Linked DNA regions of Arabidopsis thaliana. The protein of the gene in region 1 interacts with the protein of each later gene in a biochemical or structural test. Each region holds a gene or a part of one and is shown on either strand. Other genes may lie near its edges. The genes, in order: EXO70B2 and PUB22.

Region 1 (4,970 bases):
AAGTCGGCTCCAGACTACACTGTCATATCCTCGAGTCGCAATGAACGGCATCTGAGGACTGTCTTCATAGTTAGTAGGGCTTCTCATCCAAGTAGAGACTTCTCTGTTTATCCTCTCTATGCCGTATGCAACTGTGCAAGGACATTATAAGCATATGATATATCAAATCCAAAAGATCACCGAGAGGAAATGTTGAGATAGATTTGACTGTCCTTACCATGGTGAGGAAGGAGACCACCGTGGCAGAAGAGCCAGTTATTAACACGGAGAATAACTCCGTGACGCGACAATTCACATGCTAAACGACCACCTGGTCTGAGAAGGACCGACCTTGCAATTACTCCCTTTTGCCTCTGTCCTAATGGTTTTCCCACCGACTTTTGGTTAACCAACGAATACAAAAACTAAGAAAACTCAGAGAGGACAAGGCAAAATGAAGTACCTTTACTACATTCCATTGATCCCAATAGGTTTGAGAACTCCTCCTATCTTCTTTCCATTGTCTTGACTCAAAAATCCAATTCCTAAACGCTTTGTCCCAGTCTTGTGCATAGTCCTCCAAGTAGTCAAGAAAATCAGTACACTCATCAAATGCTCTCGCATCTACATATCTGAAATCCCCTTCAACATTCATTGTCTCGTGGTTCCCATTAACCTTTAAAATGTGACAAGAAGTTACTCTTTGTTAGTCCTATCAATTATCATCATTCTAGAACTAGCAAATTAAAATGTGTAGAGTGCAAAAGCTTCTCTGTGTAAAATTTACTTATGAAATTCAAGTATGATAGCAATCAAAAACCTGGAAAACAGCTCCACCATTAGCCTTGGCCTGATCATCAAGTGACCTCAATAAGGAGAGTATTGCGATTTCATCATCACCGCGATCAAGTATATCTCCTACCTGAACTAGTACCTGTATTTTCATTATGATTTCACAACTCATAAGCATTTAACTCAAAAGAATCAGTCATCATAATGAACCTCAAGATGCGTAATGTTGAACTCTAGCAGATACTGTCAATAATATCATCAAGCAAACCATTTAACACGATACTGAACCACTAAGAGATAATGTACATACGGTGTCTTGGCCGACCCACTGGTCTCGTCCGTCGGAGCTCAAGACGCCAGCCAACTGAAGTGCGTCTCTGGCTTTACCCAGATCGCCATGAAGGTCTCCAACTGTGAGTGCATATCCAAAACCAAAACCTACTCAATTTTGTTGTCAAATTATCAAAAAGATTGAAACTTTTCAGATTAATGGTGGCGAACCTGCAACGATACGACGAGCAGGAGCAGAGACGAAAGTGGGTGGATCTCCATTGATGACAATCGGCTTCAGAGCAAGTTCGTTACCATTAGAAGTGCTCAACAAAGAGGAAGAAGAAGGTTCTAAAAGTTTCTGGGGGTGAGAAGGAGGAAGTGGAAGTAAGGAATTGAGGTAAAGGGAAGCCATTGGTATTGGTGGTGGAGAAGCAATGATCCACCAGAGCTTTGATGAAATCACTTAACATTTGTGTTCGTCTGGTCTATAATTTGTGTGACTTGTCTCCAATTGCATGCTCAGTAATCAAATCCCTTTTATCTATCTACTGGCTGAGGTTTTTCCTCTCAATTTTTGGTTTTTCTGTTTTTAATAAAATAAAAGATAACCACAAAGACAAAAATTGGGCCTCTCAACCTTATCAAACTTATCGATCCCAAAAATGAATAATATGTCCATTGGGCCATCTAAAGCCCAAGTGTACTGGACGCCGAAAATTCAACGTAACGAAGTCATCGGCCCATAACCAATTTCCATGATGACCAAACGCACAACGCGGTTGTTAAATTGCGTTCACGTTCTGTAAACATCAAACCAGACAGAACCAAAAGAGAAAAATCGAAACGAAGACAAAGTCGTGGTCGTGGCACTAAGAAATTACAGATTCCATTAAAATACAAACAGAAGCACACAACTAAGTCAGACATGGTTCCCGCGTTTAATCTCCGAAGACTTTGTCAATATTATAGTCTTCGTCTATGGATTTTCGTCTTTATTCTCCCAATTCCACCAATTCCGTAATTTCCCCGAACATTATTAATTCCCATCCAATCATATGGCTGAAGCCGGTGACGAGAATCTTTACGCCGCCGCCAGAGACATCGCCAGAGCTCTCGGCAAGGATCCAAGTGCCGCCGGAGATATCTTACAGATTCTCTCCGGTTATGGCGCTTCCGGAAACCGCGGCGGAGATCCTCGACCCACCCCATCCCGCGGCGGCTCAAACGTCAACTTTGACCGAGCCCTCACCTCTTTAGAGAGACAGATCTCCAGCTACATCGTGGAAGATCGACCGATCTGGTCTGATCCCGTTGACTCGCGCACCTTCCTCGACTCTGTTGATGAGCTACTTGCGATTGCCGGAGACTTGAGATCCATGGCCGGAGATAAATCCGTCGCCGTCTGTCAATCCCGTGCCGATGAGCTGATTCAACAGGTGATGTTTAGGCTTCAAGAAGAGTTTGGATTTGTAATGGACCGAGCCCCTGACTCGTTTGACTCGGACGATGAGTTCCCCGGCGAAGAAGACAACGACACAAGCGACGGGGTAATTAATTCATCTGTAAATTTATTACTAAATTAGTTTTGGAATTAGAATTAGAAAATTCGGTTTACTATCGGTTATATTGTGGTTAAGTGATTCACAATTGAATAGGTAATCGTTGCTCGTCCAATCACTGATTACAAAATCGTGATCGAGGCGTTACAATCTAGCGTTATTGGCGATCTAAACGCGATCGCTGTGCGCATGGTCGCTGGTGGATTTGCAAAAGAGTGTTCAAGAGTGTACAGCAGTCGACGAAGAGAGTTTCTAGAGGAGAGTTTGTCGAGGTTACATCTCAGAGGACTAAGTATGGAGGAAGTGCAAGAGAGTCCATGGCAAGATCTTGAAGACGAAATCGACCGTTGGATTAAAGCCGTAACGCTGATATTCCACGTTTTCTTCCCGAGCGAGCGTCTTCTCTGCGATCGCGTTTTCTCTGATCTTCCTGTTTCCTCTGTAACCGATCTTTCTTTCATGGAAGTTTGTCGCGGAACCACAACACAGCTTCTGAATTTCGCAGACGCGATCGCTTTAGGAAGCCGTTTACCTGAACGTTTGTTTAAGGTTGTGGATTTATACGAAGCGATGCAAGACCTTATTCCTAAGATGGAAACGCTATTTTCTGATCGATATTGTTCGCCGCTAAGGCATGAGGCGCTCGCGATTCATAAACGGTTAGGAGAAGCGATTAGAGGGATATTTATGGAGCTGGAGAATTTAATCCGACGTGACCCTCCCAAAACAGCGTTTCCTGGCGGTGGGATTCACCCGATCACGCGGTACGTGATGAATTATCTGCGTGCGGCGTGTAAATCGCGGCAATCGTTGGAGCAGATACTTGACCAGACAGGAAATGAAACCGGATCAGATACGAGACCGTTGTCTGTGCAAATCATATGGGTTTTGGAGTTGTTGGAGAGTAACTTGGAAGGCAAGAAAAGAACTTATCGTGATCCGTCTTTGTGTTTCTTGTTCATGATGAACAATGACAAGTATATTCTTGATAAGGCTAAGGATAACGAGCTAGGTTTAGTCCTAGGAGAAGATTGGATTGTGAAGCACGCAGCGAAACTGAGGCAATACCATTCTAATTACCGAAGGAGCTCATGGAACCAAGTGGTGGGATTGCTTAGGACCGATGGTCCGTATCCCAAGTTAGTAGAGAACCTAAGATTGTTCAAATCACAGTTCGATGAGGTGTGTAAGGTGCAATCTCAATGGGTTGTTAGTGATGGGCAATTGAGGGAGGAGTTAAGAAGCTCTGTTGCCGGAATTGTATCTCCGGCGTACTCGAATTTCATCAGAAGATTGAAGGAGTCACCGGAGATTAATGGGAGGCGTGGAGAGCCGTTTATTCCGTATACTGTTGAAGATGTGGAGTTTATAATCAAACGGTTGTTCAAGGAAAGCTCAAGTTGATTAAATTAGATATGAAAAGAAATTAAAAAATTCTTATTAATTGAATTTTTTTGTAAAATTGTGAATCATTCTGTGTTTTTTTATCTTTCTTGGGTGAATAATGTTCATGGATCGGTGGAATCACCTTTTCGACATTGATTTGTTCATGTATTGCTTTTTTGATGTAAGAAATTTCCTTAAGGTTAAAATATAATTCGTTTGGGTTTCAAAACGGACTTACGAGCATTGTGCTATAGAGTTACAACTTACCAGGATAGAGTAGTATAATATCATAATAGTATACATGTAAAACCTAGCTTAAGCAAATACGAAAGATTATGTGAACCCACAGGGAAATAATTATAGATTGACTACAGATTAATTAATATATATGAAAGCAAAATGAAAATCAAGAGAGTACGTGGAAAATTTGTTCAACAAGACTGAGACTGATGACTATGTAAGCAATTTGGGAAGGATGAATATCGTCCCAGAAAAGGTACTGGTTAGGGTTAGGACAAATCCGAGTTAAAGCATTGCACAAGTACGCTAACTCTATTTCTCCAGTCCCGCAACATCCTCTCGTCGTCTCCTTTAACCCTGTCCCATTCAAAGGAATAACATTGATAACTACTTAGCTTTGTAATAAAATGAAATATTTTATAGTCTTGAATGTTCTCTTATAACAAACTATAATTTCAAAACCTGTAAAAAAAATTATCAGTAAAAATCCTGTAAAATACATGCACTTCACACGTATGTGATATATACTAATATGAGAGAATTGTGCGGAGAAAATTGGATTATGCTTTGGGTTTGATTGATTTCTTTTTTCTTATTTTGCATTTATGCAATATCTTTTTTAAATGATCCAATATAACAACCTCAAATATATTTTTTCCAAATACAATATAATCTAGAAAGAGATGCAATTGATCAAAACTCAAGGAAAACTAGATTTAGTGCGAAACGTTATTTGCATGG
Region 2 (4,627 bases), on another chromosome or scaffold:
ATACAGTACGTATATGTATTTATATATATTCTTAAATTTTATTAATTGGCTGTAATATATGACCGCTGCTCAAAGAATGGGAAAGAGCTATTTGTACATAAACCCAAATAAATATATATCCTCAAGATTGAAGTCAATTATCTATCTATTTGGATAAATTATTATTTTGTGGTTGAATGAATTGCTGATTAGTAGCATATATAGTTGCAACTTGGTCATGATTCTGGTCGTGCTCAAGAGTTGCCTAACTTATTTCTATTTTTCAATAATATCTTAATTTAACAAAAAGATGGAAATATTTCACTTCAGTTCTGTGATTCTGTTATACTTTCATATATTTTCCAAATTTCCAAATCATAAGAATACTATCGAGTTTCTATAATCAGGTCAAATAAGCTTGAAACAAATAATAACATAGGTTGAAATAGTTACAATGTAAACAGCAAATGGCTTAAAGTCTTAAACCAACAATTAAAGACTCATGAAGAACCACCAAAGCCAAACTATGACAAGAGAAATATCAGTTCATTTGAAATCTTAAAAGGTATAGAAGTGTTGATTAAGGATAACGGACTATCGATGATATCCTCTTCGTATATTTTTTTTAAAAAAACAGCAGAAAATCTTTATCATATATACACTTTTCATTCCGTTACTTAAACGTTAGTAAATAACCAATATCATAACTCATAAGTTCATTAATCATAGGGTATATAAAGCTGTAAATCATATTATGTTGACTTTTTCGTAATATATGCAATTTTTAATAACTAAAATGTTTGAAATCGAAAGATGTCTTTGGAAAACACAAAGTGGTATATATATATAGATATAGATTTGGTTAAAAATGTATGTAATTCTTTAAAAATGACAATGTTTAGAGTTTACTGGATTGTAGAACCTATGGATTTTGTTTAATGGCAAAAACAAAAATGGAAGTAAAGATGTCCATCGACAGATCAAAAACTCATATATATTGTCAAGATGAAATGATATAACGTTCTATAAAAACATTAAGTGAATCCCTGATAATCGGAAGAACGATAAAACAACTTGAAGAGACTGAGTTATCAATGTCCCACAAGTGGTACCAAAATAGTTTATGCATACCAAAACTATTTAATTAATCGAATGTAATTGACCAAAATAGATATCAGACTCAAAAGAATACCAAAACTTCAGTGATAACCAAAAGCAGATAAAAAACGTATATAGTTTATGCATTTGCCAATAGATGAGAGGCATATCCATTGGCACTAAGATCAAAGCCAACATATATATAAAGATAAAAGGAAAAAAGAGAGGAAAAATAACTGAAAATATGAATATCCAAAATATTGTGGAAGCGCCTAGACAAAAGTAGAGCATAACAAGGGAGTATGGGTCCAAAAGTATCACAAAAGATTGCATCCTAAAACAATGTACAAAATCCAACAACGGACCGTTAATGGCACTTTAGGTTTTGTCGGTACCAAAAACAGTAATCTTCTTTTTGTTGACAAAATTAAAAACCTAAAAATCTTCATCTACCTTTCGGTTGATTAACAGTTATATTAACCATAGTTTTGAAAATTGAAACAAGCCAGCCAATTTAGGTTACAATTTTTTGTAAAATGAAATAAAAAGTCAATGGGGGATGGCAAAAAAAGAGGAGGAATAAGCAATTATGGCATGTGAGTAAAACGAAAAAGAGACACAAAACAGACAATCTATTTGTCTTCAACACCGCCACAACCAATCCCCAATGACTTGGTTACTTTTTACACTTTCTTCGCCGTTATCGCATCTCTTTTGACAAGTCAACACTCTTCATACGTCTCACTTTTTTTTTTAATATGAGAAACGCATTTATAGTTTAGTTTCTTTTGTTACACCACCCAAAAAAAAAGTCAAATCTATATATAACGTTCCTCGTTCGTTCTAATAAAAAACTATACAATAATAAATAAATAGCGACAGCTATCCAAAAAGAGTTTTAACAATACTTGTATTTTCCGTGTTTTGACTTTTGTAATTATTCTGAATATTTCCACTATCCCTTTATATTTAAAGACCCAAACTCTTCATCTATCTTCTTGCTAACTTATTCAAACCAATTCACATATCTCCTAAATCTCAACGACTGCACTTTGAAGCTTTTTGTTTAGATTCGTTCGTCGTTTCCATTGATTAAGTCTACTTCTTTTTTTTCATATTTTCGAGCGGGTCAAATGGATCAAGAGATAGAGATTCCTTCCTTCTTCCTTTGTCCAATCTCTCTAGATATCATGAAAGATCCGGTGATAGTTTCCACCGGAATAACCTACGACCGAGAAAGCATCGAGAAGTGGCTCTTTTCCGGTAAGAAAAACTCATGTCCAGTCACCAAACAAGTCATAACCGAAACTGATCTTACCCCAAACCACACTCTTCGCCGTTTGATTCAATCTTGGTGTACCCTCAACGCATCATATGGTATAGAGAGGATCCCAACTCCAAAACCTCCGATCTGTAAATCGGAGATCGAAAAGCTTATCAAAGAGTCGTCATCTTCGCATCTAAACCAAGTCAAATGCCTCAAACGACTTCGTCAAATAGTATCTGAGAATACAACCAACAAACGGTGCTTAGAAGCCGCAGAAGTTCCGGAGTTTTTGGCAAATATCGTAAGCAACTCTGTAGATACGTATAACTCTCCTTCTTCTTCACTTTCTTCTTCGAATCTCAACGACATGTGTCAGTCAAACATGTTGGAGAATCGATTTGATTCTTCAAGAAGCTTGATGGACGAAGCCCTAAGCGTACTCTACCATCTTGACACATCGGAGACAGCCCTCAAGAGTCTTTTAAACAACAAGAAAGGAACAAATCTTGTGAAAACGTTGACGAAGATTATGCAACGTGGGATCTACGAGTCAAGAGCCTATGCGGCTTTGCTTCTCAAGAAGCTCCTGGAAGTTGCGGATCCAATGCAGATCATATTGTTGGAACGAGAACTTTTCGGTGAGGTGATTCAAATCTTGCACGACCAGATCTCTCACAAGGCGACAAGATCAGCAATGCAAATCTTGGTGATCACATGTCCATGGGGAAGGAATAGACACAAGGCAGTGGAAGGTGGAACAATCTCGATGATAATCGAGCTTTTAATGGACGATACTTTCTCATCAGAGAGAAGGAATTCAGAGATGGCGATGGTGGTTCTTGATATGTTATGTCAGTGCGCAGAAGGAAGAGCTGAGTTCTTGAATCACGGTGCCGCTATTGCGGTTGTGTCTAAGAAGATATTGAGGGTCTCACAAATAACTAGTGAAAGGGCAGTTAGGGTTTTGCTTTCGGTTGGGAGGTTCTGCGCGACACCCTCTTTGTTGCAGGAGATGTTGCAATTGGGAGTTGTAGCAAAGCTGTGTCTGGTACTTCAAGTTAGCTGTGGTAACAAGACTAAAGAAAAGGCTAAAGAATTGCTTAAGCTTCACGCTAGGGTTTGGAGGGAATCACCTTGTGTCCCAAGAAATTTGTATGATTCGTATCCTGCTTGAACAACGTACATGTTTGAATAATTCTCATCAGATACAAACAATTCTTTGAGAATTATTCTTCGTATAAGTTCATTTTAAAACAAAAAAGAGTGGTTTAAATTTTGCTCAAACTCTGATTTTCTTTCATTTGTTTTTGTTTTATTATCTTTCAATGTTTATCATTATGTGTAGATAATAGTGGACATATTTTCATGAAATTATGAAAAAACTGCAAAGAAATAAATGGATTCACAGGTTACATGGCTATTTTATCCCACTTGCTTTGTTCGTAATTGTTAGAGGCTCCTTATTTATATTCTTTTTGTCCATTACTCACAATAATAATGGAGAACATCTCTTTCAACTTCTCGTTTTTATTGAGTGGATAACCTAAAGGTTACATCATAGTTCTGCTAAAACCATTACTTTTTACAAATACTTTTAGAGATTTGTATGCGTCATGTGTAACGTTTCTGACCATTTAATTGATGCCAGAATTGTAACATTGCGAATGTAATTATGTATATATATATATATTATGTCGGTACGTTCTACAACTCTAATCCCACTATTGATTTATATATTCCAGTATACATCGACGATATCCACGACGGGCATTCTTTCATTCGAGGATGAGTTTCTGTTTTAAGAAATTCTTAATTAAGATTTGTTTTCTTAATTATTATGTAAACATACCAAAAGTCCTTCATATATATGTGATTTTGTATTCACTTATTGTGATTTTTTAGATCACTCAGTTTAAAATGATTTAGACTAAACGTGGTAAAAACTGTTTACGAAAACTCTTTGCATGCGTTTTAACGATCAATAGACATTTCATTATCGGTAGATCGAAGGCAAAAGATAGATGAATATAGGAATCTAAAGCACGTTATAGCAATATTATATAGCAAGAATCTCTGTATTTATACACCTCGGTTCTAGCAATCAGGGAACATGGTCTTGGGGAGAACATGAGTACAGTGTCGTTTTACCTGAGAAAATTAATTATTACTTTCGGGCTATAAGTCCAATATAAATTCCTAAGGTTTTACATAAATAATCGCTCATGTCAAAGTTAATTTGGATTACACTCGAATTTACTCTTCCAACACTGACTTATGAATTTG

The links.
Region 2: the proteins of EXO70B2 (region 1) and PUB22 form a complex in vitro, tested with the Arabidopsis thaliana proteins (one study listed by BioGRID).

Annotation. Positions count from the first base shown.
Region 1 is NC_003070.9:2,149,435-2,154,404, reverse strand, and holds EXO70B2 (exocyst subunit exo70 family protein B2), read left to right. Parts: upstream 1-1,863; 5' UTR 1,864-2,099; coding exon 2,100-2,591; intron 2,592-2,699; coding exon 2,700-4,007; 3' UTR 4,008-4,247; downstream 4,248-4,970. Other genes in the region: SLP1 (Calcineurin-like metallo-phosphoesterase superfamily protein), read right to left, coding at 1-131, 218-353, 443-655, 800-901, 982-1,014, 1,097-1,209, 1,273-1,456; AT1G06990 (GDSL-like Lipase/Acylhydrolase superfamily protein), read right to left, coding at 4,396-4,586. UniProt on the Arabidopsis thaliana protein: Component of an exocyst subcomplex specifically involved in autophagy-related, Golgi-independent membrane traffic to the vacuole. Regulates autophagosome formation and autophagy-related Golgi-independent import into the vacuole.
Region 2 is NC_003074.8:19,439,834-19,444,460, reverse strand, and holds PUB22 (plant U-box 22), read left to right. Parts: upstream 1-2,033; 5' UTR 2,034-2,210; coding exon 2,211-3,518; 3' UTR 3,519-3,844; downstream 3,845-4,627. UniProt on the Arabidopsis thaliana protein: E3 ubiquitin-protein ligase that negatively regulates water stress response. May control in coordination with PUB23 a drought signaling pathway by ubiquitinating cytosolic RPN12a.